Linked DNA regions of Oryzias latipes. The protein of the gene in region 2 interacts with the protein of the main gene of each other region in a biochemical or structural test. Links are inferred from orthologs where the notes say so. Each region holds a gene or a part of one and is shown on either strand. Other genes may lie near its edges. The genes, in order: adrb1, disks large homolog 4, potassium voltage-gated channel subfamily A member 1-like, tanc1, kcna4 and lrp2.

What was found.
Region 1: the proteins of disks large homolog 4 (region 2) and adrb1 form a complex in vitro, tested with the Homo sapiens proteins (2 studies listed by BioGRID and IntAct, with this or other methods). The link is inferred for Oryzias latipes from reciprocal best matches to the Homo sapiens genes DLG4 and ADRB1.
Region 3: the proteins of disks large homolog 4 (region 2) and potassium voltage-gated channel subfamily A member 1-like form a complex in vitro, tested with the Homo sapiens proteins (2 studies listed by BioGRID and IntAct, with this or other methods). The link is inferred for Oryzias latipes from reciprocal best matches to the Homo sapiens genes DLG4 and KCNA5.
Region 4: the proteins of disks large homolog 4 (region 2) and tanc1 interact in a test that uses a peptide from one of them, tested with the Homo sapiens proteins (2 studies listed by IntAct, with this or other methods). The link is inferred for Oryzias latipes from reciprocal best matches to the Homo sapiens genes DLG4 and TANC1.
Region 5: the proteins of disks large homolog 4 (region 2) and kcna4 form a complex in vitro, tested with the Homo sapiens proteins (8 studies listed by BioGRID and IntAct, with this or other methods). The link is inferred for Oryzias latipes from reciprocal best matches to the Homo sapiens genes DLG4 and KCNA4.
Region 6: the proteins of disks large homolog 4 (region 2) and lrp2 form a complex in vitro, tested with the Homo sapiens proteins (2 studies listed by BioGRID and IntAct, with this or other methods). The link is inferred for Oryzias latipes from reciprocal best matches to the Homo sapiens genes DLG4 and LRP2.

The regions. Positions count from the first base shown.
Region 1 is NC_019877.2:5,428,562-5,434,038, reverse strand, and holds adrb1 (beta-1 adrenergic receptor), read right to left. Parts: upstream 3,734-5,477; 5' UTR 3,068-3,733; coding exon 1,877-3,067; 3' UTR 1,206-1,876; downstream 1-1,205. UniProt on the Homo sapiens protein: Beta-adrenergic receptors mediate the catecholamine-induced activation of adenylate cyclase through the action of G proteins. This receptor binds epinephrine and norepinephrine with approximately equal affinity.
Region 2 is NC_019872.2:14,363,934-14,369,427, reverse strand, and holds the start of disks large homolog 4, read right to left. Parts: upstream 3,534-5,494; 5' UTR 3,344-3,533; coding exon 3,242-3,343; intron 1-3,241. UniProt on the Homo sapiens protein: Postsynaptic scaffolding protein that plays a critical role in synaptogenesis and synaptic plasticity by providing a platform for the postsynaptic clustering of crucial synaptic proteins.
Region 3 is NC_019881.2:23,511,483-23,516,926, reverse strand, and holds the start of potassium voltage-gated channel subfamily A member 1-like, read right to left. Parts: upstream 3,687-5,444; 5' UTR 2,940-3,686; coding exon 828-2,939; 3' UTR 428-827; intron 1-427. UniProt on the Homo sapiens protein: Voltage-gated potassium channel that mediates transmembrane potassium transport in excitable membranes. Forms tetrameric potassium-selective channels through which potassium ions pass in accordance with their electrochemical gradient.
Region 4 is NC_019879.2:20,906,499-20,911,504, reverse strand, and holds part of tanc1 (protein TANC1), read right to left. Parts: intron 3,168-5,006; coding exon 3,034-3,167; intron 2,911-3,033; coding exon 2,787-2,910; intron 2,715-2,786; coding exon 2,539-2,714; intron 2,467-2,538; coding exon 2,334-2,466; intron 420-2,333; coding exon 390-419; intron 282-389; coding exon 190-281; intron 1-189. UniProt on the Homo sapiens protein: May be a scaffold component in the postsynaptic density.
Region 5 is NC_019861.2:9,904,706-9,909,815, reverse strand, and holds the end of kcna4 (potassium voltage-gated channel subfamily A member 4), read right to left. Parts: 5' UTR 4,791-5,110; coding exon 2,730-4,790; 3' UTR 1,080-2,729; downstream 1-1,079. UniProt on the Homo sapiens protein: Voltage-gated potassium channel that mediates transmembrane potassium transport in excitable membranes. Forms tetrameric potassium-selective channels through which potassium ions pass in accordance with their electrochemical gradient.
Region 6 is NC_019879.2:21,616,883-21,620,676, reverse strand, and holds the end of lrp2 (low-density lipoprotein receptor-related protein 2), read left to right. Parts: intron 1-897; coding exon 898-1,014; intron 1,015-1,086; coding exon 1,087-1,158; intron 1,159-1,233; coding exon 1,234-1,404; 3' UTR 1,405-2,263; downstream 2,264-3,794. Other genes in the region: retinol dehydrogenase 7-like, read right to left, coding at 2,338-2,576, 2,645-2,808, 3,294-3,552. UniProt on the Homo sapiens protein: Multiligand endocytic receptor. Acts together with CUBN to mediate endocytosis of high-density lipoproteins. Mediates receptor-mediated uptake of polybasic drugs such as aprotinin, aminoglycosides and polymyxin B.

The DNA.
Region 1 (5,477 bases), on a different chromosome or scaffold from region 2:
AGAGGGAACACACGTCCCCTTAAAACACGCCAGTTCACCCACCTGGAACTGCAGCATTGTTACCAAATGACTTCTTTGTTTGCAGGAGCGCAAATTAGTCCATTAAAATTCCTGGCTTTTGAGTCTGTAATGCTGTGGAAAATCCTCCAAACGATGTAAAAAATGCTCAAGTTAACTGTGTGAGGTTGAAATGTAATGCTGCGTTTGATGGAGACTTGAGCAAACAAGCAGAGAATACTAAACCTTTCTTTTTCATTTCATGCAAAGATTTTAACTCATTATCTTTCAGTTCCGCCTAAAACCTTGCTGATAGTGATGCATTTTCCCCCACTTTTTGCACGTAGTGTGCAGAATATCCCAGAATTTACAGTCTGAACAAATTTCACAAGTATGCACAAAAGCATAGAACAAAATCAGCAAAATTAACATTAAATATCCTCTTGCAGAAAATGAACATGCCCCCCCCAAAGCCTTGTTAGTAATTAGGCTATTTAAAAAACTACATGATTAAATTACAATTTAAATTTTAAAATTCTCCTTAACTAAATAAAAAAAATCTTTATATAATAATTGATTTTTACAGAGTTGTTTTTTGTTTAAAGTGGCTCAAACTTGAAAACTTTAGAATTTTCTTTTAAAAATCGACAATTCTGAAGCAGAAACAACAAGAAAAAAGCAAGGTAGAGCTAAGAAATAATCAAAATCTTTTAAATCCAAAGTGTAAAATATGTAAATCAGCTGTTTGGATAGGATCAGGACTGAGTACATCAGGAGTCCTGGAGATAAAGTTAGACTGAGATGATTTGCATGTCCAGAGGAGACAGAAAGAGTCTAGAGCTGCCAGGCAAGAGGTCTAGAAGAAGACCAAGGAGGAGGTTTATGGATGCAGTGAACAAAGACGTAAAGGTAGCTGGTATTAAAGGTGAGGGTGCAGAAGACAGGGTTAGATGGAGAAAGCTGATTGGCTGTGGGAATCCCTGTAGGGAAAAGCCGAAAGGAAAAGAAGAAAAAGCTGTTTGCTAATTGATTGACCCTGATCCAGCAGTCCTAATCCACGCATTGAAAGCATCACCTGATGCCATATACATTTCAAATAAAATACCTCTTCTATTCTTACTTTGTAGCTGATGAAAAAGGAAAATATTCAAAAATATGTGGAGAAGTTTAGTGTCATTGCTCCCTGGAAGGAAATAAAAGCTCCAACATTTAAGAATGAAACCATCTTTTATTTTCACAGAAGCACCACCTCATAACAGCATTTAAAATAAGAGAGACAGACAGTCAGAGAGGCCCAGTTTCCTCCCTTTAGTGCTTAACACTTCATTATATACAATCACCTGTCCTTCATTTCCCAGCTGAAAAAGACAGAGTAAATGCAGAGCTATTTTACATCATGTTTAATATAAACAACAACATGTCATACAAATTGCACTTGTCTTTGCTGTGAGGTAAAACACATTGTAAGAGGAATTGAACACTTGGACAAAAGGTTTTTGCTCATGAAAAGTGCGCATCAGCCGCCATTTACAGATGAACTGTTGTACTTCGTTAAGGTGGAGCAATATTTTTTTTTCTCCCCTTCTCCAGAGAGGAGAGAAGAAAGTTATCCCACGGATTTATGATGAAACATTTTCTGCTTAGGTGTTCGTTCTTCCTCCATGAAAGGAAGATTTGCGTTTTAATTAGTCAAAGTGCAGATTTATATAAAATAAATCGTTATCCGTCGGCATTGTGAATTGATTCAGATGGGAAATTGCAATAAAAAAATTCTAGCTAATTTGGAGGATGACTTTTACGCACAGCTTTTGAGAAAGAAGGATCATCAAGTTATTTCTGTTTTGTTTTTGAGTTTCCCATAAGAGTGCATTAATCCACCTCACAGCTGGGATTCAGATCGCGGCAGCTTCGTCCCCACCAGGATGCTGTCGCTGCTGTCCAACACGGCGCAGTCGGACCACATCTCCAGCGTGCCAGGCTCCAGCGCTGACACGAACCCGCCGGAGCAGCGCGTCAGGTCGCAGGAGCTGATGTGCAGCCTGCGATCGGCTTGCCTCGGGCAGCACAGCAGCCTCTTAAAAGCCTTCCTGAAGTCCGGACTCCGGCAGTAAATAATTGGGTTAAAGGCAGAGTTCACGTAACCCAGCCAGTTCAGGAACACGAAGACGTTCTTGTCCACAAGCTCTGCGCAAAATACGCGCACAACGTTGACTATGAAGAAGGGCAGCCAGCACAGAGTGAACGTCCCCATGATGATTCCCAGAGTTTTCAGCGCCTTTTGCTCCCTGAGCGCCAAGATCTTTGAAGGTCTCTTCTTGCACTTGGAGGTCAGCCCTGTCAGGGTGTTGTGAAACCTGCCCTCACACTTGTCGATCTTTTTGAGCTGCTTTTTCGCTTCTCTGTACACGCGTGCGTAAACAAAAATCATCACCACGAGAGGAATGTAGAAGGAGATAACGGAGGAGGAGATGGCATATGCCCTGTTGGTGACAAAGTCGCAGCATTGGGGGTTTTCGTAGCAGTCCGTGTCCATGCTGTCGCGGGACCAGTGCATCAGGATGGGGAGGAAGGAGACCAGCGCAGAGATGGCCCACACCACACACACCACCGCTTTGGCCCGACTTTTGGTTAACAAGCTTTGGTAGCGGAAAGGTGAAGTGATGGCCACGTACCTGTCTATGGCGATTACGCACAGGGTCTCTATGCTGGCGGTGACGCAGAGGACATCCACAGAGGTCCAGATCTCACAGAAAAAAGAGCCGTAAAGCCACAAGCCGCGCACCTCGAGCACAGCGCCAAACGGCACAACAAGTAAGCCCATGATGAGATCTGCACTGGCCAGCGATACGATGAACACATTGGTGAGGGTCTGCAGCCTCTGCGTCCTGGCTATGGCCAAGATCACCAGGATATTCCCAAAAACAATGGACAGCACAATCAAAGCCATCACCAGACTCATGCCTGCTGTCCACTGCTCGGACGCGGCTGGAACGGTGCCCTGCCCGTTGGACGCCTCGGTTCCAGTGCCGTTGTGGGGGGTCACTGGAGAGGACGCGCCGCCGTCCCCCATGGCGCGTTGCTGCGCTGCGTTTGACAGCAGGGTGAGTTCATTCAGGCAGCGCGCAGCAGCCGTTTCCTTCTGCTGCGCTCGACAGAGACGCAGCTCCAATCCCAGCGCGCGCAAACTCCATCTGGAGCTGCTTTCTTCTTCTGCGCTTGATGCCCCCCCAGCGGGGACTGAAACACGGGTGACATCATCAATCAGTGCGACCAATCAGGCAGTCCAGTGGAACAAAGGTCCCAGTGGATCAGAGGAGGCAACATCAACTTCGGCCTCTTTTTTGTATCATATTTCTGAAAATAAAACACCCTAAAACGCACCACTTTATGTTTGTTACTTACTAACACAAACTGTCCCTGTTTCCTGAAAAAAAAAATTCCAGCACTGTGGGAACACCAGGCCAAAAGTGAAAATCCAGAGGGATTTTCCCGCTTTCATCACCCTCCATGGCAAACCAGATTTGTTGTTCCACATTTATATTTTTACCTCCAGAAATGCTTCCCTTGAGATCGACTCCCACCTTATCAGAAGCCATAAAGCTACGCTGGGTTTGACTGGCAGTCAGAATTCCCAGATTCCTTGTCGACAACCTCTCTTCTCCTTGTCCACGGGCTGAGTGGTTCAAATGAACATGAAGAGCTCCAGATGGGAACTGACTGAACGGCAAGCGTTTAAAGTTTAAACACCAAAGAAGAAGCTGGATTTATTTCTGGACCACTCCTCATGACCTCTGTGACCCCTCGTCTGAAGCTGAAACATGACATCAACCATGAAGCAGTCTTAACATCCCTCAAGTGACCCTAAGATAGACAGACTGGTTGTTTTTGAGAAAATAAACCTGGGAAAGCTTATTTTTATCATATTTAAAGTGACCTCATTGCTGGAAAAGTACTTTCAATCTAAATCCACATTCAGGAGTCATGGGTTAGACCCCTTAAGCTCAGGGGCCAATTAGAGGCTTTCCTTGTTCTTTTGGATTAGTTTCACCTCAAGTGAATGGTTGGTTGGGAATCATAAACTCTCAAATTCTTCATTCAGCTCCAATAATAAACACCAAAATATATTTCTGAGGACCATTTTAGAATTTTCCTATTTTGGTCCAAAGAGAAGCGGCAAACGCAGGACTCTGTTCACAGTCCTCTGTCCACAGTCCTCTGTCCTCAGTCCTCTTAAGACAAATAGTCTTACGTTGAAAGCTTGTTGGTTAATTTAGTCAGGTTTGACAGATGACATTCATAAACAGAGCTATATCATTTTATTTAAGACTAAAAAACCCCAGTTCACATGTGGAATAATTGCAAGAAAGACATTAAAAATTGAAAATATAAAAAAGTTTTTAAAACAATTGTAAAAGGGTGATATACGCAATAGAAATAAAGGAATAAATAAGATTCATTGATATTTACTTTCTTCCTGAAAACCTTCTCTGTTTGTTTTCAGTCTCAACCTTTTGTAATATGCAAAAAATACAGTTTGTATAAATATAAACTTTAGAGACTGAATTCAGATCAAATTATTATTTATTTTAATTATTAATTATTTATTAAAATGTAATAAATAAAAAGAATCAAAAAAAACTTTTAGAGTCTTTGGTATGACTCGGCCTGGATTTGAACTCACAACCTTCCAACTGAAAAAAAAGGGGACTTTTAATGTTCATCCAAATCCCTTTTTACAAACTTTAAATATTGTCAATCATTGTTAAATTTCTGTTTATGCTGTTTAGGTTTTGTTTTATCAGCTGAAAATAAATACATAAAAAACATGATAGAAATGGTTCTCCAGCTATTTATGGTCAAAAACAGTTGACGTTAACAACAATACTTTTTATTATATTTATTGCACGCTGATTGTAAATGAACAACCACCATTTCGATCTTTTATGACAAAATCTTTAAAACTATCCGAACCAGAAGCCTATTATTTCTTCAAGTTATTAACCCTTTTTCCGCCACTGTTGAGGAAAACCTGAGGCTCCAGAGTCTCAGGTTGCAGACCCTGTCTATGGGGGAAACCTTTTTGTTTTTGTAACTGTACTCATTCAATTGTAAGAGCTAATTAAAAAATAAAAATTTAAAATTCATAGAAACAGCCTTAAAATTTAGTGTATGGGGGTTAGATTTTGATTCCCACATGTTTTCTTGTAAAGAAGAAATATGAACTGTGCAAAGATCTAAGCCAGAACTTTTTCTGCCAATTCCTTAGAAAATTTCTCTAAACCTTCATGCAGACCAGTTGCACAACAAAAGCACTACTCGAGGAATGCTGTAAGGAGGGATTTACAGGCTGCTAGTAAGGCTGAGTGCAAATGAACTCAGTGAGCAAAGAGGTCCATGAAACTGGGTCTGTTATAGCATCTCCTTGAGTCATATCGTATTGTTTTAAAAACTGCTAACTTAAGGAGTTTTAGGCAAAATGC
Region 2 (5,494 bases):
CCTCCCCTTTATTTTGTTGCATTTTTCAAATCTGGGCTGAGAGTGGAGTCAGCCTCCAACTGTCCTGTTGTGTTACCCTTTTAGGGGGAGTAATGAGAGAATTGGGATATAGCCTAAGTCATAACGACTACCTACTAAACTAGGTTTTCAGATACTGATCACAGATTACAGCATATATTGAAGGTACATAGTACAATTAAGTGACACACAAAACATTGAAAAATATCAATTTTGTGGATTTAACTCTACTAAACCTAAAGAGGACACTGATGCTCTATAGTTTGCTTGATGAAAGAACCAATTACTTTTGAGTGTCTGTTGATGAATATTTTTTATGCTAGATGCCTAGGAAACAGAGTTACACAATGTTCTGTTAAGAAAGGACAATCAGTTGAAAGAGCATTAACTGCCAAACCATTACTCACTTGCTGTGACTCTTGGTTTCCTATGAAGGTGGAGTCAAGAATTCTGCAGATTTGATTCTAGTAACCAAATGCTAACCTGCGGTAATGTTCTATTTCTGATATTTGGGAAGGATCAAATTGTCAAGTTTGAATGACAACTTTCTTTAATCCGCTCAGACATAAAGCGTCATTTAAATAAAGGAGAAGTCTGAGTTTTTGTGGCTTGTGATGTAGCTACTAAAACCTGCAAGTGCTATATATAAAATTATTTATAAAAATAGAAGGAGTTGACATGGTGGTGCTGATCCCGAGCAGATCCACCTTGGACCTCAGTAGAGCACAAATAAATCCTGACCACCTCACTTTGATGATGCTCAAAGCTTAATGTCAGAGCTATAAATTAATATGTGCAAAGCTTTAGATAAAACGGGCGCATCTTGGAAGCGAAATGCAAATCCGGCACTGAGGAAAGCAGAACATATGAGGTGCTTCTGCGAAGCAAAAAAATGCCTTCCTTCCTTTTTGGATATTAAATTCCACTGTTTTTTAGTTGCTCACCAACATCTGATTGGCTGCTTTGTAATGCCTAACCGTACTTTTTCCAGGAAGACGTCCCACAATCGATGGCGAGGATGAGGTGATTATTGATCTTGATATTGAGATGAAGGCCCAAGGATCCATCGCTTGTAGATCAATCACTATAAGTGAATATTCTGTTTTCATTAGGACTGTATTGCAGAGCCTTCAGCATGAGTGCAGAGCAAAACTCCAAGCCGGGAGACAAAGTTCAGCGAGGCAAGCTGTTTTGATAAAACGCCATGAGGCCATCAATGAGTATAAAGCATAAAGAGCACATCAAAGCACCGATGAGTGCTTGCAAACATCTTATTCTTTAATTAAGACCCTGAATTTGAAATGACGGAGCACAATTGTGCTTAGAAACAAAGCCTATGCAAATAAACTACCTTGGACGATCACCTTGGGGAAATGACCAGGCATGTTGGAGCTTTTATAACAAGAAATTTAGGGAGCTTAGTCAGATAACAGCAGATAGTAGCAGGAGCGCTTGAAGAATGTTGTAATATACAGCTGGAACTGAAGATGGAGAAGAAGAAGAAAAATCCCACCTAGAAGAAACTCCCAGGAGACTAACACAAACACAAGCTGTCAGGGCCACTGAACCTGTGTGCAAGCATGCCCAGCCTGCTCTCATTGAGATGTTAATTCCCTGTCAAACCGCTCTTTTCACGGAGCGAGCCTTTAGCTGAGAGACTTGAATCCACACAGGGAAACTGATATATTTTCCACAATTCCTCCCATGGAAATACAGAGGAAGGAGAAGGCCTGGATGGGGACACATGGGATTGCTTGTGCTTGTTCTCCACATAGAGTAATGGGACCCCCCGCCACATAACACACACACAGAACAACCCACTTTTCCAGCAGCATCTTTTGCATATATAAGAATTATCCAGTCCCAGAAGTTTAATGTCTGAAACTCTTCATGGAGAATTCCAGGTCAGAGATAAGTATCCTGTGGCTGCTTGCCACAGGAATTTTGGATGGAGAGAAAAATCTGGGATGTGATGGACAAACAGATTGAAAGAACACGGGATCACACAGTCTCTTTACAACATTCCAAAACCAAACAGCACAAACACATCCGGCCTGTTTGTCACTGATAAGCAAAACAGCAAAAGCTTAACTCTGTTTCTGTTTCCACCAAAAAAAAAAAAAAAAAAACATCAAGCGGAGGCTCAGTTCATGTTCAATATTGTCAATATGGTAGGGGTGTAACGATCAATTGATGAATTTCTTTATATTCCTACAATCCAACCAGATCGATCTGTCTGACGCAAGTTAATCAAATTGACATATACCATTATAAAATCATTTTAAAATGAAATAAATTAATTATAATCAATATTGGAAAACACCATTTAGATTGAGGTATGGTAGGTTTATATACTGTAACCTAAAAGTGCCATCACACAACACACATATGTCAGCAAAAAATGATCAACCATCATTCCAGTCCAATGTGTGGAAACCCTTCGAATTTAGCAAAGATATGTGACCATACTGTTTGGTAGAATGTTCTTATAATGTTCTGTTTGGATTATTTTGATGTGGAAATACAACAGTAGGCTAAACGTTATGAAATTTAAACGTGAATGGATTTGCCTTTGATTCTTGTTTTCTTGTTTGTTTGTACACATATTTAATTTACACTTGATAATCCTGCAAGAAATACAAGGAATCCGGAAAACTTCACCTGTCCAGGTATTTATCTCTGAGTCACACTGGTTGAATTTTTGGCAAAAGATATCCTGGAACAATTGAATCGGATCATTTGAAATGAACAATGAATGTATCGTCAACCACAAATTATGATATGAATCGAATAAAATGAATCTTTATACCTCTTCAAGACTGGTTCTTATGGTGATGAATGATATCTAAGTGGCTCTGAGCAGTAAAGTGCACTTCCCAATGTCAAAAACCCATGCCAGCTGGATTAAACATGTAGTTGTATTCTGACCATATTATTATTGAGGACATATTTGAAAGAAACAAATGCCTTATTTAATGAAGAAAACAGTGCTGCAGAGATGCTCTAGACTGCTGTGCACATTGAAATCGGTCATATGAGCACAAAAAGCGCAAATGGGTCCATAGAACAAAATCTGAAGATATGGGGAAGGAGAGAAAGGACTTGGAGAAATGAAATGAGGCAAATGCAAAGAAGTCAAAGACGATGCGATCACAGCTGAAGCCTTTATGCTACGGATTCCTCCAGAGGCCATCTCCTCCTTCTCCTGCTGCTTTCCTCTTACCTTACAGCCGAACATGAGAGACAGAGTCCGGTTGCTGCAGATGACCTTACACTGGCACATGACCGGAGAGAGACACTTGAAATTCCTGACAGGCAGAGACATCAGACCGGAGCCTCACAGCGGCGCGCGGCGCAGACCGAAGCCCGTGGAGGCGCAGGAGCGCGCGGCTGGGAGAGTCACCGATGGCCCGCAAACTAAGCCGGCCGCCTGAAGCCTGGCGTCGGGGTTTCTGTGCAGCTGACTTCCGATCAATCATTTACAAATGTCTACCGCCATGATGTCTGAAAGACTGAACACCCCCCACACCCACCGCCGCTCACACTCCACTCAGGTCTGCCTGCCTCTCTTTGCCCCGCTCTTTCTGCTTGATTGACCGTAAAGTTTGGACTCCACGCGCAGCTGGAATCACTGAGAGCAGAAAAGCAGCCCAAAAACACAACAGGAATCATAGCAACAGTATAAGTCTAAAATAAAACAAACAAATTAACAAATATAAACAACAACAACGGGAAAATATTTACTCTGATGCCGCGTTTGCTGTTCACAATACTAACAGCGTGGCCACTTCGCCCCCTGTCGGAGGGAGAGGAAAATTGTAAGTGGAGCTGTCTGTGGTGCTGAAACCTTTGATGGGAAATCAGAAACTTGGTATAATCAGTCTGATATTTTTTAAATTAAATTAAATATTTAAATATGTGCACCCATTCCCCATTCTTCATAAAATATGTAACCCCTATCTGAAAAATTCACTTACTTTTAGAGAAAGTACTAGAATATAAAGTGAGAACATTTTGCCTTCTTTTAGTTACACTACTTAAATTCCATTTTATAATAAAAAATGTGTATTATGTTTGTTATATCTAAAATGTTTTGGAACCACCAAGTGCTAAAAGCACATCCACACTCCAGACCAATAGTGATGTGTTTTGATTGACTAGCTCTGTTTTGATGTGGTCAGACAGATCATGATCATTGATTAAGGTTTACTTTTGCCACTGGGTGTAAACAGATCACTCTAACATCTCGCACGACACACTGTATCTCCTCTGGACCTGTCAAAGACAGATTGTTTTCAATAAGGCAAACACTTTCTTTCCCCTTTTTAATCCAAAAACTTTCTAAGACGGTTTCAAAGATAAAAACCTTTAAAATTACATGCAAACAATATATTTTGCTTGATCTATTTTTTACATCACCAATATGGTTATTTAGGTCCTTTAGAAGTTACTTTTTAAACCAAGAAATCCTTTTTTTCCTCTAACATCTACACTGGATAGATATATGGTGTACATTGTTATTTAGAAGTCATGATGGTCAGGAAGGGACACATTTTCTGTAATTGTTGCATCAGACCCAAAATGAATGATTAAAGACTCAATTGGAGCTACAATTTCTCCAGCAGTGGTATTGCATTAAGAAGTCTCTTTACAGGTGACATTTTTCCATGACTTCCCATGAAAACAAGCTTTATCCTTGTTAATTGGATGAAGGCAGCCATCTTCCATTTTTCCCTCCTTTGCTCTTTCACCTTTGTTTAGTTGCTCTTGTGTAATTGTGCTGCCATGGAAGGCCCACAGGGTGGAGTGAGAGCACCAGGTAGGCCAGATTTAAATATTGTGCATTCATCTCAGGACCGACTGCGGCGCAGGGCTCTATGTTCTTTAGTGATGTCAGCATTAAATTGAATACAGAAACCCCTTTTAACATGCTGATGCCCTTCTGATAGTTTTTTTTTCTAGCAACCTTGCAGAGCTTTGGGGATGTCCCTGGGAAATCTGAACATTGCTAGAGATCAGGACATGTAAAATAGACTAAAGCTGCCTTCCAGACATATTTATTGATAAACATGGTATAGCTAGTCTGAATAATGAACATGGATGAACTAGAGAGCTGCTGCATTTTAAGAATCAGAATTGAGATTGAAATGAGATTTGAAATATGCTCATCTTTTGCTGTTTTGAAAGTCTTCTGAATTCAAGCTGACTTTCATGTTGGTGACATTATTACTCACTGATGTGAGTAATAATTCCTATAATTATCCCATTTACAGTAAAGTCTATGGTTGTAATTTCCTGTATTTCTTCCCCACTCCAACATTATGTAAGCATAGGAGTCACATGGAAACCTGAACTGTGCTGTGCTGAGCATAGCATTAACATCCTCATGCTGCATTGTCTGAGCGATAGAGACGACCCCAAAAGAGTGTTTCCATGACAACATCTGCAGGGGGTGGCAGATAACTACAAACAGTCC
Region 3 (5,444 bases), on a different chromosome or scaffold from region 2:
TGATGTACATACATGTCCATAAAGGAATAACTGCTCCTTCATTTGCATCAATGAGCAGAAATCAGACAAAATATTGAAAATAGATCGAACTGTAATCATTTTTATTCCTCAAATAAAACATGAATAGCTTTAGTAAAAATTTGTTTTCAACTATTTGAACATTTAAAAAATAAAAAGACTAAAAAGAGAAAAGATCAATTTAACGTTTGGATCATAGAAAACTTTCATAAATAAGTGAAGGAAAAACGTTTTTCCCACCAAGAATGTGACTGAAATGTGTCTTTTTAAAATGATCGTTTTTCTGTTTCAGGAGGTTGTGACGTAGATCAGGTCGGACTTGTTCCGGACGAGTCCGACTTGAACCGAGTCTGAAGCTGAGAACGCAGCTCTCAGCTGCCATAAACATGCGCGCACGCTTGACACTGACCTGATGTGTGCGCGCCTCCTCCGTGCACGTGCTCCCCGCTCCTGTCGTACTTCCACTCAGTTTGTCAGAAAAGTTCGATTTGAAAGTTTCAAACAGGAAAAGGAAAATCCGTGAAAAAAGATCCTCTGTTTTCGTCTGAAGTCTGTGCGCGTGAGCGTGAGACCCACTCGAGGTTCATGTTCAGATTCCGTTAATCCTCTGCGTGTCCAGAAATGATCCCATATCCTGACGGCTGCGCGCGCGCCTCACTCCCGTTTCCCACTAGCTCACGCGCAAGTTTTTTCCTTAATCGAGCACGCGCGGACAGTTGAGGTTGAGGGTTGAGACCTTTGAGCCTGTGCAGCCCGGGGGAGGGGGGTGAGGCTGGGGGGCGGTTCTGCGGGCTCGGGCGGGTCCGGGTCTACAGGTCTGTCTCGCGCGTGTCCAGGCAGAAGGCGTACAGGGACTTCTTGAAGTCCACGCTGCTGTTCGCCTTCATGTTCTTCTCCCCCCCGTCGCCCCCCTCGTTCTTCTCCGCGTCCTGGGACTTGGCGGAGGCCCGGCTGCCCCGGCGCCGCGGCTCGGGGCTGGCGCGGCCGCTTGCGGGCTCGTCCTTCAGGGAGGACTGGTCCTGGTCGGTCTCGCGGTGGTAGAAGTAGTTGAAGTTGGACACGATGACCGGAACCGGCAGCGCGATGGTCAGAACCCCCGCGATGGCGCACAGCGAGCCCACGATCTTCCCCCCGACCGTCACCGGCCGCATGTCCCCGTAGCCCACCGTCGTCATGGTAACCACGGCCCACCAGAAGGCGTCGGGGATGCTGGAGAAGTGGGACTCGGGCTCGTCCGCCTCGGCGAAGTACACGGCGCTGGAGAAGAGGATGACTCCGATGAAGAGGAAGAAGATGAGCAGCCCCAGTTCGCGCATGCTGGCTTTCAGAGTCTGGCCCAGGATCTGCAGCCCCTTGGAGTGGCGGGACAGCTTGAAGATCCGGAAGACCCGGACCAGGCGGATGACCCTCAGGATGGCCAGAGACATGGCCTGCTGGCCGTTCTGGTGCTCCTGGCCCTGCTGCTCCGCCAGCTCCGTGCCCACCGTGATGAAGTAAGGCATGATGGACATGATGTCGATGATGTTCATGATGGTCTTGGAGAACTCCGACTTGCTGGGACACGCGAAGAAGCGCACGAACAGCTCGAAGGTGAACCAGATGACGCAGGTGGTCTCGACGATGAAGAACGGGTCCGAGAAGGTGAGGGAGGGCCGCGGCGCCGTGCCGTTGTCCGGCCGGACGCTCACGGCCAGCTCGCGCTCGTCCCGGAACTCCGGCAGCGTCTCCAGGCAGAAGGTGATGATGGAAATGGTGATGACGATCACGGACACGATGGCGATGCCCCGCGCCGGACTCGAACTCTCCGGGTACTCGAAGATGAGCCAGACCTGCTTCTGGAACTCGTTCTGGGGCAGCGGCTTCTCCTCCTCCTTGATGAAGCCCTCGTCCTCGCGGAACCGCTCCATGGCCTCTTCTCCCAGCTGGTAGAACCGGATCTCGTCGGCGAACACGTCGATGGACACGTTGACGGGTCTGCGGATCTTCCCCCCGGACTGATAAAAGTACAGAATCCCGTCGAAACTGGGCCGGTTCCGGTCGAAGAAGTACTCGTTCCGGAGCGGGTCGAAGTACTTGATCCTCTTGGCCGGGTCTCCCAGCAGCGTTTCCGGGAACTGGTTCAGAGTGCCCAGCTGGGTTTCGTACCTCAGCCCGGCGATGTTGATGAGCACCCGCTCGTTGCTCTCCGCGTCCACGTCCATGTCCAGCAGGTCCTCGTCGAACAGGTGGGGGCTGTGGTCCGCGCGTAAAAGCGCATCCATGGCGTTCTCGCTGCAGCTCAGCGTGGTGTTCATGTCGTTGATCTTCCAGGGGCTCAGCTGCTGCCGGGGGCTCCCGCGGGTGTTCAGCTCCTTCCCGCGCTCCTCTCCCAGCGCCGTTTGGACGAAGCCCGGTTGAGGGACCTCCAGCGCGTGCCGGCAGTTCTCCTCGGCATTCCCGCCGCCGCCTTTGGCGCCGCCGTTTTCAAAGCTCACCAAGGCGATCTCCATGCCGCTGCCATCCACGGTCACTGAAGCAGAAGCTGAGGGGGCGCGTGGAGCCCGAACATCCCGCAGGTTTGAGTCCGGATACAGGGGGGGGGGGGGGGGGGGGGGCTGTGCGCGCGGAGCTGAGCTCTGGATCACGGCTGCTCCGCGCGCGGGGGCATGCGTGGAACGCCGCCGCTCCGGAGCGCCGCAGCTGGGAGAGATGTCAACATCCAGACCGCGGGAAGAGACGCAGACCCGGATTAGAGAGCAGCCGCGATGATCACTCCTGACGTCAGGAGTGAGGCTCGCGCGCTCAGCCGCCGCGGAAAACCGAAACACGTCTGAGAGGAGAGAGAGATGCGCTCCCTCCCTCTCTCCAGCAGCGGAGACGCGCTCCGTTTGTGGCACAAAGCGCGCGCACGGCGGTTGCATTTCTGTGCTGTCAGTCAGCATTCAGAGACACCCCCCCCCTCCAAAAACACAGGGACGTGAACTCTTCTAAGGAACATTTGTGCAAATATCTCCATGCGGAACCAATATGTTCTCTGGGTTCTCCAGGGAACCCTTCACACCCACCGGTCTCAGAGGTCGAGTCCTCTGATCTGTTTTCAGAGCGTTCCCAGTTCCCTTTTCATCCTCTGACGTTTTAGTTCTGTTTTCTAGGACATAGTTTCTGCAGAGCGGCAGGAGTCTCTGATTTGTGGGCGGGGATTATGTGGGAGATTGATGAAGACTCTGGACTCCAGCTCTTCTTCACGCTTTGAATGTCCTTTTCAAAGAATGCCCCCCCCCCCCCTCTCTCCTTGTCTCTCCCAAAGCCGTCCTCCCACGTGACCAGCTCCTCGCCTTCTCTGCCTTTGTGTCCGAGTCCTCTCCTGTGGGGGGGGGGGGGGCGGCCCCCGGGCGGCACTCTGTCCTTTGAAGGAGCCTTTTCTCCAGGATCTTCTTTGTTCCTTTCAGCCGCGCTGGTCAAAGACCCTGAAGGAAACACGACTCTCCTCGTGCTTCTGTGACGTCATCGAGCCATCACACACCGCTGGAAACAAACTGTCAGCTTTTGGTGATGAAAAAAACAAACAAACAATCAAGTTGAGGTTTCAGATGATGAACGCTGAAAGTTTCCAGTCGTCACTGATGCTCCTCAGCTTGGAGCTGGCGGCGTTTCCACCTCCAAGCTCATGACGTCACATTCCTCCAGAATTCCTGTGGTTTTTGTGGACCAAACGAGCAGAGACTCGTCCCATGACAATGCTCCAGAAACTCCAAACGTTTGCAGTTCTGCTCGGCCTACGCCGTTCTGGACTAAGTGACGTCATCCATGAAGCTCCAACCAGCTCCAACCAGAGGGGGTCGATTCAGTCACCATTTCTGCACGACACGGACGTGATTCAGACAAAAATGGCAACTGAATTGACTTTCTTGATCCAAATGGGTCAGAGTCATTGTTTCTATGACAACCACTCTCACCAATCAGGAGGGAGCTTCTTAGAAGGCCACACCCCCACCGCTTGAAAGCGGCTACAAACTCTGAGTAAATCAGTAAAAGCGGATTTTCTGTGGCGACCCCTGAAGGGGGACAGCGGCGATACGATACGTATCCAGATATTTTATTGGAAAACTTTTTTTTTTAGGAGTATGACTTAAAAAACTGTACCTGGATATTAATGTGTCTTTCATCGTAATAATACGATCTAATGCAGTCTATTTAATGATTACAATGTTTAGCACTGCAACTGTATCACATACAGTGGTGGACAAAATAGTTGGTACCCCTCAGTTAAAGAAAGGAAGTCCACAATGTTCACTGAAATGACTTGAAAGGTTCAAAGGGAACAATAAATTAATATGTATTGAAAATTGAAAAATCAGAATCAACCATTACTTTTGAGTTTTTGATGAACAGAATTATTTAAAAAAAACAAACTAATGAAATAGGGCTGGACAAAAATGATGGTAACCATAACTTCATATTTTGTTGCACAACCTTTTGAGACAATCACTGCAACTAAACGGTTTCTGTATTTGTCAATGAGCCTTCTGCACCTGTCCACAGGTATTCTGGCCCCCTCCTCATGAGCAAACTGCTCCAGTTGTCTCAGGTTTGACGGTTCTCCAAATAGCATGTTTCAGCTCCTTCCACTGATGTTCAATGGGATTCAGATCTGGGCTCATAGAATCCACTTCAGAATAGTCCAACGCTTTTCTCTGAGCCATTCTTGGGGGTTTCTGGCTGTGTGTTTTGGATGGTTGTCCTGTTGGAAGACCCATGACCTGCGACTGAGACCAAGCTTTCTGACACTAGGCAGCACATTTCTACCCAGAATGCCTTGATAATCTGGAGATCTCATTTGACCTTCACAACTTCAAGACATCCTGTGGCAGATGCAGCAAAGCAGCCCCAAAACAGAACTGAGCCTCCTCCATGTTTCACAGTAGGGACAGTGTTCTTTTGGTTGGATGCTTCATTTTTGAGTCAACCAACATAGAGCTGATGTTTCTTACCAAAAAGCTCCAGTTTGGTCTCATCTGTCCAAAGGACATTTTCCCAGAAGCTTTGTGGCTTGTCTACATGCATTTTTGCAAATTCTAGTCTGGCTTTTTGATGGTTTGCTTTCAACAGTGGTGTCCTCCTTGGTCGTCTCCCACAAAGTCCACTCAAACAACCACGAATGGTGCGATCTGACACTGATGTACCTTGATCTAGGAGTTCACCTTTAATGTCTTTGGAGGTTGTTCTGGGCTCTTTGGAGACAGTTCCAACTATCCGTCTCCTCAATTTGTCATCAATGTTCCTCTTCCATCGCCAAGGGAGGTTGGCTACTGTCCCGTGGGTCTTAAACTTCTGAATAATATGTGCCACTGTGCTCACAGGAACTTCAAGCTGCTTAGAGATGGTTTTATAGCCTTTACCTTTACCATGTTTGTCTATAATTGTGTTTCTAATGTCCTGGGACAATT
Region 4 (5,006 bases), on a different chromosome or scaffold from region 2:
TGCTGCAAAACTCAATCTGTTAAATGTCAGACATCGATCACAGCACCTCTGCTTGGGAGCAGCTTCTATATTTAACAGAGCAGGACGAACGGCCATCATACTGTGTTCAAATACTGACATTTCTGTCCCTTTGGAGGAAAGCAGCACAAATGAAATGAGGAACATTAATAGAGCCGGAAAGGTTCCTACCTTGTAAAGCATGTTTCCCTCCTCCATGAGCTTCTGGAGGAGGATGATGAGGATGTCTGGCTTGGAAGTGGCCATGGCCCAGGAAGCGTTTCCTGGGGGAGGAGGCGAGAATGTTATCTTTCCATTTGCCACGCAAACAGGAGAGAAACAGTGCATTTCTCTTATGTTTGGTACAAATGAAAGTTACCTAAGGATTGTACCTGATCGATCGTAAGGAGACGTTCTGTAGCCTTAGTTTATTGAGGGCAGTTAGGAACAAAGTTAGGAGAGAAAGAGTGAAGAGAGGAGACGTCATGCAAGAGCAGGAGATTTTACACCAGCTGCACTGCGGCAATAAAAAAAAAATAAAAAAAAAGTGATGTTCAAGTTTATTTACATGCAGGAAACTTTGCAGGAATGAAGAGTTTTTAGCTGAAACAGCAGAGAGGCTGCAGACACAGGAAAATGGTTGAATATCAGCTGGAAGTGTTGCTAAATGCTTAAAATTAGTCAAGCAGCACATGAGGGAGGAATGGACCAGCCGGTCTGCGGGTCAGACAGAAGCAGAGCTGGAACGCTTTTCCACAACATTCCATATCGTTCGTCTGGAATTATTCTTAGGACCAAGCTGGGATAAACAAGCCAGACAGACAAAGCAGTTTCTGTGCTGATGAAGACGTAACTGAACTCCCACAGAACAGCACATTTCATTAATCTAGCCAGGATTTTCTTGATTTTAGATATTTACACAAATAAACATTTAAAACAGTAGCATAGGTAATATGTTTTTAACTTTTTTTTCTTACTTTGTTTGCAAATCTACAAAAAATTGTCATTTTATATGCAAAACTAGAAAACAAGCTGGCATTCAAGACTTAAAGTCCTAGTCTGATCCTGTTTTGATCCATTTTCAAAGTGGTCTTTATGCCGTTTTTAGCCCAAATCAAAAAAGATATCTGGTTTTCTAGGACATAGTTTCTGCAGAGCAGCAAGAGTTCATTAGATATTCACCTCTTGGCTCGGAGCAAGGCTGCCCTCACTTCCTATTATCCATGGTTATTTGCTCTCCTGCTGCTGACAGCCCCTCACAGCCCCAATCTAACTATGTCTAAATTTAAGAAGCAGTTTGATCAATATGGGAGTAATTTTGCTAAAAATCCTCACAGACCAAAACCCTTTTGTTTTTGTATTACCAATAGGTCCTGTTTTCTGTCAGTCGTGTCTTTTTTAACTAAGCAAATGTAAGCTAGTTGTAGTATTTTTAAGCAGCTTTTATTTGGCAGGTTTTTTAAATGTTTTTTTCCTAAAGCACACAGGCCTCCCTCCCGTTCAATATTTGTTCTGTTATTTTATCCTAAATTTAATTTTTATGGACTAAACTGACTGGGTTGGTCTTTTAGTTTTGCCTTCTCTGCTTTCAACTTTCCAACATAAACAATATTCTTGATGAGTCCCCAAAACAACTTTTTACTGGCAGTGTAAAAGACTCTGCAGTCTATTTGCCACTTCTTAGTTCATGGTCTATTTCTGCATACATTATAATTAAAAAGGAGGACTCATGTTACACATTATAACTCTGAGACAGCAAGATTGTAAAGTTGATGGTTACTTTTGAACAACAATAACGAGTAATATGAAAGTTTGGTTATCAACAAACCTGAAGCTACGATCACACCAGGCATGTGACATGTTTGGACCATAGTGTTCACACTGGACAAGCAGGGAGGGGCTTCTTCTTTTGCAACTGTTTACTGATGTCAAAGCGGTGCAAAGTTTGCAAATCTTGCTCCAGGCTTTTTCTTTTGCAGCTCTATTCCAATGAATGAAAGACTTAGCCACAGAGCAAGTATTGATTTCTCCTCCATGATCAGTTTTCAAATGGTTGGCACTTCCCTGAATTAAAAGGAACGCCATCCCAGTCCCTCACTGGTCAAAGTTTAACCTTGAGAGGCAGCACGTGTTTAATGGACGTAGAGCCCGATAATGGCGGTAGAATGTTTTTGAATGTGAAGGTCTAAAACCCGCATACACAAATTTACAAAGACTTTTTATTGGGAGTGGCCACTTGAACATGCATGGCTGGATAGGATGGAAAATGCATTTTCCCTAGTTGACTGATTTTCTGTGAGAGGGGTAAGGTGCAGCCACATAAGATGAACTTTTACCTAGCTTGGCCCCTTTCTTCAACAGAGTCACCACCACCGATGTATTCCTGCAACCAATGGCCCGGTCCAGAGGCCTCATCCCACTGTGATCCACATGCTCTATCACTGCTCCTTGTTCCACCAGATACTGGACCTACATGACAAACACAGTGAGCGCTTAGCTAAATCGCTCTCACCGTCTCGGATGGATGAAAGGTTTACTCACAATCTCTGCGTCTCCATAAAAGGCAGCCAAATCCAGCGGAGTTCGTCCGTTTTTATCCGTGTGGTCGATGATCGCACCTTTCTCCACCAGGAACTGCACAACATCCTTATGTCCTTTCAAACACGCCCAGCTGAGAGGCATCAGACCCTCCTTGTCCATCTGGGTCAACGAAGCACCTTCAAGAGGAAGAAATCGTCAGGACGCTGGCGCTCACACGCGCTCACTGAGGAGGGGTTTGAACGCTTCACCTTTAGACAGCAGAAAATCAACGGTGCTTCGGTGACCCTCGCAGGCCGCCACCATGAGGAGGGTCCTGCCCTGTTTGTCACTGATGTTGATTTCAGCCCCGTGCTCCAACAGGAGCTCGGCGATCTGAGGAACAAACCAACATAGCATTCTGGTGAAAAACCACAGCGTTTCAATGCCGGCTCCCTCTGGTCTTTTCTTTGCCGTGGTTGCCGTGGATACAGGAGACTTAACAAAAAGAACTCTCACCTGCCAGTGTCCCTGTCTGACGGCACAGAACAGGGAAGAAACCCCCCGTCGATTCACCTGCTGCACTATCGCACCCTGATCCAGGAGGAAGCTGCAGACCTCCATCTTTCCTCTGCCGGCTGCAGCCGTCAGAGCTGCAAACAGGAAGTAGCACAAACTTCTCATTGTGAATCCAGGTATTGCTGCTTCACTCATTTCGGCAAGTGAAATACTCCTGATGATACATTGACATGTTGATCAGGCAGCAAGAGCTTGAGAGGACACTAAAATTTGCAGCTTTGTAATAATGACAGTTTCATTAGTCCGCAAACTCTAAACAAGCGAAGAAATGCAAGCTAAACCCAGAGTTTAATTGAGTCACAAACGGGTAATTAGGTTTCTGCTTGTCAAAGTCTTTAAATTCCTGCCTCATGTTCCAGGCCTCACACACACACAGATCATTTCAGGGATGAGCAGAAAATCATCAGCCAGCAAAGGCAAACAAACTTTGCCAAACACACAGTGCAGTTTGATTCATTTTGACACCAAAATCAAGAGTCTATTGAGACACCGGGTGCTTACAGCAGATGCAGGCGTCCTAAAGGAGCTCTGGTTCCACGAGCAGCGAGATCCACCGTGAGAATCAGAGAAGCCCTGCTTTCACAGTCATCCCAGAGAACTTGAGGGGCTGCCGATCCTCTGTATCTAACTGACATCACCCGTTTGGGCCAACGGTCATCGGAGCCGAAAACAGCCCCACCTTCCATCTGCTTAAAAATGTGGATTTCCTCACTCGGCCCTCCAGCAGAACAATGACTCCAAGAAGCTAAACTTAGGCTGTGCTCCAGGGAGCAACAAGAAGCGCACTGGGAGCGCTGCCAGCTTCGAACCAGCGTGCAGGAGAACAGCTGGACTGAGGAATGGCAGCTGTTTGACCATTGTCACAGAAGAGTCACCCAACAACTCGCCTAAGGTTTGTTTTTAAAAGGTCATGACCTCTGCAGCCATGTCCTGTCATGCAATACAGAAGAGATCCATTATCTAATGCAGTTTTTATTCTGACTAAATATATACTGATTTATGAAAATATTGATTTTAACTGAACGTTACAAATGTTCTAATAGAATAAACACAGAACATTGACTTTTTGAGGGTTTTAAAAGGATTTAGGGAAAATTACTTTGAAGGATTAGACAGAACATAATTTTTCTTATTTATTTTCATCTAGAAGGTAATGCACAAGCAAAATATTAAGACAAAAAAGTGAAAGTTAAAAGAAAAAACTAGATTTAACTTTTACTACAAATACAGTGGAGGTTAAATAGGTAAAGATGTGTTTGTGTGCATTTTTAAAGACCAACTCCAATGGAAATTGTGTTTTTGGTGTCTTTAACGTGTCCTTGTGGCATTTGTCTGATGTTGGAGGAGATGTATAAAGAAAATGAAGCTAAAATTGCATTTTGACCATTTATTTATTCAAATCATCAATGCTGCTTGAAAAAGAGCTTATAGGTGACGTAGAAAATACACTGGGTGGATCACAACTATCTTTTTATTTGGGCTAAAAACAGCATAATCCTACTTAAAAGACGACTGGGAAAGTTTTAAAAATGGATCCAAAGATGATTGGAGTGGGCGGGTCTTTAACATGTTTGTATTAAAAGAAACTAAGAACTGGCAAGAGAAAAACTGCTGTGTCTCAGAAAGTCGAACAGTCTCAGCACAGCATACAAATCCGTTTAAGAAAAAAAATTATATTATACCCCCTAAAATAATCAAATTCGGAACCTGCTTAAAACCTCATTTAACATAAAAATATCCCAAACATCTTCTGCTTAAATCCCCAAATTATAATTAAAACCAGATACAATAGGAAATGAGGGAATGGCGTGTGAATATAATAAAGAACTGTAGTTGGTCTCTGCTCTGCAGCAAGAATGATGAGTCTGTGCAGTTCAATAATATTTCTTTGCAGAGCCCAGACATGCTTTGCA
Region 5 (5,110 bases), on a different chromosome or scaffold from region 2:
GAGCAGTCAGAATCATCCAGTGCCTGTGGCTGAAGATGATACAGGCTGTGTTCACAGTCCAGTCAGCAGCCACAAGCCTCACAAAGCATCTAACCCGCATACTGATTAAAGAACACTTTCAACTGTATTTCTTCCTATGAGGCACACACACTCTCAGCGCTCACTGTGAGGTTTAAGCGGGAGATCCTGGTTCGTGTGAGGTTCAGGTATGGGCGGGAATGAAAAAATACCTTACACAAACAAAATACACAAACACTCATCGCTATAAATGAGTACATGCTGATGCTTTGACTGACGCAGTGATGGATGCACAGAACCATTTTACTGGAAGGAACGTTCTGGCTGCTGACATTACAGAGCCTTTTGGCATCAAAGAACAGCAAAGTTCTACAGGACCTTTGCTTACCTTTTTCAACTTTTTGACAGTAACAAATGCTTCTCCACTTTTTTGCAACTTGCAGTATAAATCATTGCTGCACTTTTCCAAAATGAGCATCTTGCCTACTTGCATATTTGAAACCAGGTGGTAAATTTCTATTTATTCTTTTGTTTTTGTTGAACTTTTGAGGTAAAGCTCAACACGTCTGGTATTATTTTTGCAGTAGCTTCCCAAAACTAACCTTCCTTCATTTCTTTGAGAGATGCAGTAAAGTTTTAGAGTACGATCGCATGAAATAACCCTCCTTTATCTCATTCAGAATCCATTATGTTGTAAATTTTTCCTTGTTTAAAGCTTCTCTTATTTTACTGTTCAAGGATGAAGAGCGCTAAGAGTTTTGACGTTTTAACTGAGTACAGGATATATATTTGACCACAAAGCCACAAACTTGTCATGCAGCCTTTGCTCATGTGAACTCTTCTTTGGCTGAAGCTCAAAGAGAAACGTTCCTGCTTCAGCAGATGGTTGTAAAAACATCCTACTTGTGCCAAATTCTGCAAACACACACACACATAGTCTCTCCCCTCTTTTCTCACACACAAAGTAAGTTATCTAGTAAAGTTAATAAGAAGCTAAAGCAAGAATTCTGTTGGAAGACAACCCTGATATGATTCTTTTTCCTCTTTTCTCTTTCCTTTTATTTTGGAGGTTTAAAATACTTTCATCAAGCAAAAACAAAATCTCATTAAATTACAGTGTTTGTGTTACTTTAGACAGAAATGCAGCTGGGATTCTGCAAAACCTCTTATCAACAGCCAAGAGTATAAAAACGGTGTCAGTGATTACTCTGAGTGATGTTTTTTTTTTTTTTTTTTTTTTTAAATGAAGATAAAAAATGGGGTTCAGATTGTGTATTAATGAGCTTCAGAATTATGAGGTGTTGCTTTTTTTTTTTACAAAAGTTTAAGTACAATTCCCCTGAAGTTGACCTGATGTCATCATGGATGAAATAATTGCCCCCGTTATTAATGAAAAACGCTGTGATATTGTTGCAAATGAGGTCTGAGGGTAGCTGTAAAGTTGCACAGGAGAAACATTAACTGATGTTGGCAGGAATGTGCGTCATAGTCGTCCAGCGTTCATATCGTGTTTTACACACGGTTACGCACGCGCATCCATGCATCTTTTTCTTCTTTTTCTTTTTTTTTTGGGGGGGGGGGGGGGGTCTAAGAGATTACCAAGGTAGTGGAGATACATCCAAGGGCGAGAAAATAACAAATGCATTGCATGGATTTTCTTCAAGTGGTTCCTGTTTTTAGAGGCTTTGTTTGTGTGTTTTGTGTCAATTAAAAAGGAGTAAAAGTCACATACCTTGGAAGACATCCTTATTCCGCTGGTTTTCTGAGCCATGTACGCTTGTGCATTGACTTGAGAAAAAAAATTGCGCGTAAACTCTCCTTGAAGAATTTTCCACAACAGTCGTTTTTGCTATAATCTTCCATCTTGTAAAGGGATACTGTCACTTTGAGGTGGTTTGAATGAAAGTGGAGGAAAATGTAAAAAAAAAAAAGGTGGGGAGGGGTTTGTCTCAAGGCTCCAAAAATGTCCAGATGACCTGCAACGAGTCATTTCTCCAGCCATAAATGATGATGAATGTGCTTAACTCTTGTCATGGTGATGATTTACTTTAGTTTAGGATAGGAAGGGGATTTTTTTTTTAAACTACGTATCTCAATGTAGCCCTGACTCATTTAAAATAAAGCCTCTTTAGAAAGATATATAACAATTATGGATATATATTCATATTTTAAGTGTTGGAACAGAGATAAAGGTAGTTCTTCTGTCTTATTTTCTTCTTCAATGGAGTACAGTTTGGTAGGGTTTAAACGCTGTTGTTTTCTATGTTACTTTGCTTTTTTAGAAGTTTCTCTAACATTTTTCCGTAAAGTTATTCCTAAAATGTTGCCAGCATGGCCTACAGTTTTCTGTCTCTACAGGAACTTGCCCCAAACCCAGCGCAGATACTAATTTAGTGCAAACAAATGATAACTTTATTGCATAACAGCAAAATGATCGTCCCTACCCCTCGGATGTGACAAAAAAACTCATAAAGTGCGAATGCATAGCCTGTCTCTTCTGTGGAACTGGACTTAGATGTTAGAGTTGGAAGCCCGCAGCTCAGATGATACAATATGGTTCTGAAGTTGGTGTTGAGGAAAAAAGAAAAAGAATGGAGCATTTTCCTGCCACTGTGAAAGGGGTGGATGAGTGCGTAAGAGGGGTTGAATGGAGCGTAAAAGTTGAGGGGTAGTCACCTGATGCTGGGCAAAAAATGTCTTTTCAGAAAAAATCACACGTCTGTCTGAATAGATTTAGAGTTAGTGCTGTTTTTTCTGCTTATGTCTGTGCCGTTTCCTTTACTGGGGCTCTTGTCCAACCCGCATAGCGATTCCGTCAGCCCTTCCTCCATCTCCATGTACTCCGCTTTATCCCCCAGCGAGGAGCCCGAGGGCGAGCCTTTGAATTTCCTTAGAAAGTCGGGGAAATACGGACATCCTGGAGGCATGCTCTCCACCACAGGTGTCTGGTCCTCGTTGTTGTCGGTCTCCCTGTGGTAGAAGTAATTGAAGTTGGACACTATGACAGGCACCGGGAGCGCGATGGTTAACACACCCGCAATCGCGCAGAGGGAGCCCACTATCTTCCCACCTACGGTGATGGGCTTCATGTCTCCGTAGCCCACCGTCGTCATGGTGACCACGGCCCACCAGAACGCGTCGGGGATGCTCGTGAACTGAGAGGTGGGCTCGTCCGCCTCGGCGAAGTACACCGCGCTGGAGAAAAGAATGACACCTATAACTAGGAAGAAGATGAGAAGGGCCAGCTCCCTCATACTGGCGCGCAGGGTGTGACCCAGGATCTGCAGCCCCTTGGAGTGCCTGGACAGTTTGAAGATGCGAAACACCCGGACGAGGCGAATTATTCTCAGAATAGCGAAACTCATCGCCTGCTGGCCGTTGCCCTGGTGCTGCGCCAGATCCGTGCCTAGGGTGATGAAGTAAGGCAAAATGGAGACAATATCTATGGAGTTCATGATGTTTTTAAAGAAAGCGGTCTTGCTGGGACTCGCAAAGAAGCGAACTATAAACTCAAAGGAGAACCAGATGATGCAAACGGTTTCCACGATGAAAAAGGGGTCGTTGAAGGGCGTAAATCCGTGGTCGGGCTCAGAGGAGTTGTCCCGCGGCTGCAGATACTCCTTCTCATCCCTGAACTCTGGCAGCGTCTCCAGGCAGAAAATGACTATGGAGATGACGATGACCAGCACGGACACCACGGCGATCCCCCGGGCAGGGCTGGAGCTCTCCGGGTACTCGAACAGCAGCCAGATCTGACGCTTGAACTCGTCCTCCGGCAGAGGCTTCTCCTCCTCCTTCACGAAGCCCTCATCCTCCCGAAACTTCAGGATCGCCTCCTCTCCGAGTTCGTAGAACTTCACCTCCTCGGAGAAGATGTCAAACGGGACGTTGGCGGGTCTTTTTAGTCTCCCCCCTGACTGGTAATAGTAAAGAATGGCGTCAAAACTCGGCCGGTTCCGGTCGAAGAAGTACTCGTTCCTGAGCGGGTCGAAGTATCGGATGCGCTTGTCGGGATCTCCCAACAGCGTGTCCGGGAACTGAGAGAGAGTCTTAAGCTGAGTTTCAAACTTCAGACCCGACACGTTGATGACGACCCTCTCGCAGCAGCCGCACTCACTGTAGGCGTTCTCGTACCCGGACTGGGGCCGCCTGTCCGTGATCGACACGGTCTCCTCATCCTCGTCCATGTTGCACAGAAAGCTGGACCTCTTGTCTCCCCGGCCCCCCTGCTGCTCCTTTTCCTCCTCCTCTGCTCCCTCAGCCTCCTCCTCCTCCTCCTCCTCCTCCTCTATCATGATGTCCTCCTCCGATCCGAGCAGCGCCAGCTCCGAGTGGCGCAGGTCTCCGCCGAGAGTCCCCCGGTTGCGTCTCCACCGTCCGACGCCGCGCTGCTTTTTCCGCTCTCTGAGAACTCTCTGCTGCTGCTGCTCGGGATCCTGCTGGTGCCAGGAGGAGGAGGAGGGGCGCGAGGCGGCGCCGCTGCTGATGTTGGCGCTCGTTGAGGAGGAGGCGGCGCGAGACTGATGCTGGCGGTTGTTAAGGAGATGAGCGCTCGAGGAGGTGGTGGTGGAGATGGACCCCCCTCCATGGCCGCCTCCTCCTCCTCCCTCCGCAGCAGGGCCCCCGTCGGTCGCCGCCGCAGCAGCCGCCGCTCTGGACTGAGCAGCCTGACGCTCCCTCTCGCGCTCCCTCTCACGCGCCCGTGCTTGGGCATATCCGTACGGCAGGTGACTGTTGCACCCGCCATCCGCGCCCACCATAGCAAACTCCATTTTAAGTCTGTCTGAGCGCTATATAAAACGCCTCAAGGTGATGTGGACGCACAGCAGAGGAGAAAAGTTGGAGCCCGGCGCGCGCAGGGAGGGTGAATAAGGCATGAACCGTTCTGATCAATCAGATGGTCAGGTCAAGAAACATCTGTCTGCTTCAGGTTCAGTGAAGCTACTCACATAATGGGGGTTATGAAGCCCCATCTTCTCATGTTGGTACAAACACTCTAGGATTGCATGACATCATTAGCATCACAAAAAAAAAAATCCAGAGGCCGGTGGAATAGCCTGTTACGCAGACGCTCTGACAAAAGTTGCAGCCC
Region 6 (3,794 bases), on a different chromosome or scaffold from region 2:
TCTATCTATCTATCTATCTATCTATCTATCTATCTATCTATCTATCTATCTATCTATCTATCTATCTATCTATCTATCTATCTATCTATCTATCACTTTGTGTTATGTTCTATATGAAGAGTGCTATATAAATAAAACTTGATTTTATTTTATATAAAATAGACATAAAAAGGAAGGACATGTTGCATAGATAAAAAGATCTACAAATGATAAACCATAAAAGCTACCAAATACTTAATATCTCAATAAATAAATAAATAAGTTGATTTAATTAGTTATTTGAAAGCTAAAATAAAGAGATGTCCATATCTATCTCCCTATCTATGTATATTCAATATGATGAAAATTATTGTCCTTTATTTTAAAAGGCTGTAAACAATCTGCTTTGGTGTAAAACACACAGGCTTTGCAATAAATACTAAAGCAAATTAGACAACTACATTTAGCTGTACATGGCACTTGCCTTAGACAAAGATATGGATACCGGCTTTTCCATGATAAACCTGCAGATCGCAGATTTTCCATCATTAACAAGAAACGATATGTTTTGTTTGGTTTAGAATGTCCTAATGTATTTAAAGACTAAATAAAGTGTTATGTCAGTTTACATTGTTCCATCATCTGCATCATTTTCTCATCATTAAGATATCAAATGTTAAATATTTGCTAAAACTTTCAAATGTTTGGAAGATGTTAAGATGTCACACTGACTTCACCACAAAATAAACACGTTTTTCTTGCTTCTTCAGAACAGTTTAGGATTATGGGAGTGCTGACAGTTTTCACTGATAATATGATTAAGTAAATAATGGCAACATGAAATAATGTATTTGACCAGACTTTAATTAAACAGTTTTAACTGTCGGTTGAGACGAGGTGCTCTGGCTTTTCTAACAGGTGACCGTTAACGTGAGTGGAGAACAGCTGGAGAACAACTTTGTAAACCCGGCGTACCGTGGAGATCAGACTGCAAGCATTATCAGCACATCTTCTGTCAGCAGCAAACCTGTTCAGGTGAGTGTCCACACACCACATGTGCATTTTTATGGATCATTTATGACATGCGATCTCTGTGCTTGCTTGTAGGAGTCAAAGTGGAGTTTTTTCAAACGAAAATTGAAGCCAAGCACCACCTTTGAGAACCCTTCTTATTCAGAGGTAGGTGTGGAGGCACAATCCTTTCCATGTGTTTCTCAAAGTCAAAAATACCAAGGTGTAACTTTTGTTTGGTAGATGAAAGATGAGAAGCCTGTTGAAAACAAAGAGGACTCCTCCAACCCGGAGCCCTCTCCTTTCACGCCACCTGCCAAACCTCAGAAGAAAGATCGTCCTGGGACCTTCACGCCCACCGAGGACAGTTTCAAAGACACAGCAAACCTCATTAAGGAAGACAGTGACGTATAACCCCCGTCTCGAGACGGGACTCAAAGAAAAAAAACACACTTTGCACAGAATTTATTTTTTTATGCAGCCTGTGTACAAAACTCAAATCGTTTTAGGGTCAAAGATTCATCTCTACAGAACAAAAACAAAAGTCTTTCGAGAAGATGCCTTCTGACATTTCTTCTGCCAATTCTTGTGTTCGTGTTTTTCTTTATTTTGATGTACAATATGTATGTCTTTGCACTGAAGCTGCTGATAGAACTGTTAATATGTTGTATATTTGTAAATTTGAACAGTGAGATTATGTCCGAAATATCTCAAAAATTGGTAGCAGATAGATCAATATAAGCGAAGCATAACAACTATGAAAATGTGGGTTACATTCCGAATGTACAGTACTTATATGATCAGATGTTATCAGAGAAATAATGAATGTTGGATTATTTTTACCAAACAAAACTGAAGATGTATTTACGTCTTGCTTGTTTTCAATTTTCAGGGCTGATGAATTAAAAGCACAAAGAAAAATTGGGCAACAACTCATTCGTGTCAGTTAGGTTTCAATTGCAGATTAGGATTTTAAAAGAAAAAGTGAGCTTGAATTTGTGTGCAAAGAATAACTTATTGTACTTAATCACAGTGGGGTGAACTCAAATCAACCTGATTGTTTTTAACGGAGTGGCCAAAAGAGTTTGTACACTGCTGTGTTGTCTTGAAGGGTTTCATATGACTTGAGGATGCAAATGTTAACGTTGAAATTGAGAAGTTTCTGTTTTCTTCACAGTTTTTTTTTTGTATCATGAAGATAAAAATGTGGGATAACGAGAGAAATTTTCTGCTGCTGAGACACAAACGAATAAATTTCCTATTTTATAATGCAGTTTTGACACTTTTTCTGTCCTTGGAATTGCACCCAATTTGTTTCATGAAACACGAGCAACTTCGACTGATAAACTAAGAAGCTTTTCTGTTGTTTTTTGCTTCTTCTGGGCATGGCAGGAGCGTTTTCACCACAAAGTCTGCCACAAATGAAGGCAGGTATGACAGTGGGATCCAGAAAAGCTTAGCATCCCATCCCGCTCCGTAACGTGTGCGTGGGAACCGCGCGGTCAAGGCGTGCTCCATGCACCTGGTCACCTTTGAGAGGTCTGCGCTGCACAACATCCTCATGGAGAAGTCCTGCACTTTCGTATCTGAGAAAAGAAAAAACACATATTAGGAGCTGCTTCATACAATTATGCTGTAAATCAACTGTACCTACAGTCTTTCAAATATGTGTTTCCATATGCGTTTTTAACATGTTGAGGTAGGCGGGTCCACAGTCTCCTCATGTCAGCATTGATTAGATCAACGCTGGTCACAGCTGTCTTGAAGAAACCCGGCTCGATGATGCTCACTTTGACACCAAAATGACTCATGTCTTTCCTGAAGGAAAAGAGACGATAAATTGCCGTATTAGAGGTTTTTTCGATTTCAACTTCAGAAGAATTGAAAAAGAATCTACATAAACATCAAATTTAGCAAATAATACCAAATACCTAATAATATCTAATCTTGAATCTTTCTGCCTTAGCTCCCCTCCTTTTTTTAAGAAACAAACCAACATAAAAAATATGTTTGAGTTCCACACCGTGGATTTAATCCTATGTGGGAATGTGCAAAATGCCAGAAAATATTTTATTGAGAGGCCCTGTGAAAGAATGGTGCCCTGTCCAAGATATACCCAAACCCACACACCCTGAAGGAGATGGGATTAGCTCCAGCAGGTTGGACATAAGGAAGTGGAAAAATATCTTAATAGGAGTGAAAATGCAAATTTGGGGGACTTTATTTTAAAATCTCTTTGGCTTTTTGCGTTTTCCAGCAGATTTTCTTTGAATTCTAGGAACAAATGTGTGTGGAGCTTTTACCTGAGGCTGTCAGAAAAGGCCTCTACTCCCCATTTGGATGGACAGTATCCTCCCCCAACAAGGTTCAATCTTCCGAGTATACTGGCCACGTTTACCACTCTGCCTCTGGCCTTCTTCAGAAGTGGAATGAACTGCAGGGTCACATCAATGAGTCCTATCAGGTTGACATCCAAAACCTTGGTGAAGTCCTCCATCTCCATCCAGTCTGTTGGGCCGATGGGTATCGACCTCCCAGCGTTGTTCACCAGCCCCCAAAGACCTGCGGTGGGAAAGCAAGATAAGGTTGGAGAGTCACAGCTTTTATTTATTCAGATTTCCTTTGATTATGCAGGTTCCTTTTTAAGCTGGGATGCTATTGGTGTCCATTTTAAGGCTTCAGTGGTGGTTCATGTCAGCTGGCTTGATACAACTTAGTTTGTAATATAAAGTTAAAAAAGAAAATGTAAGAAAGATTCAGAGAAAAGACAAAAAAAAAAAGAAAAAAATCAACAATATAATTTT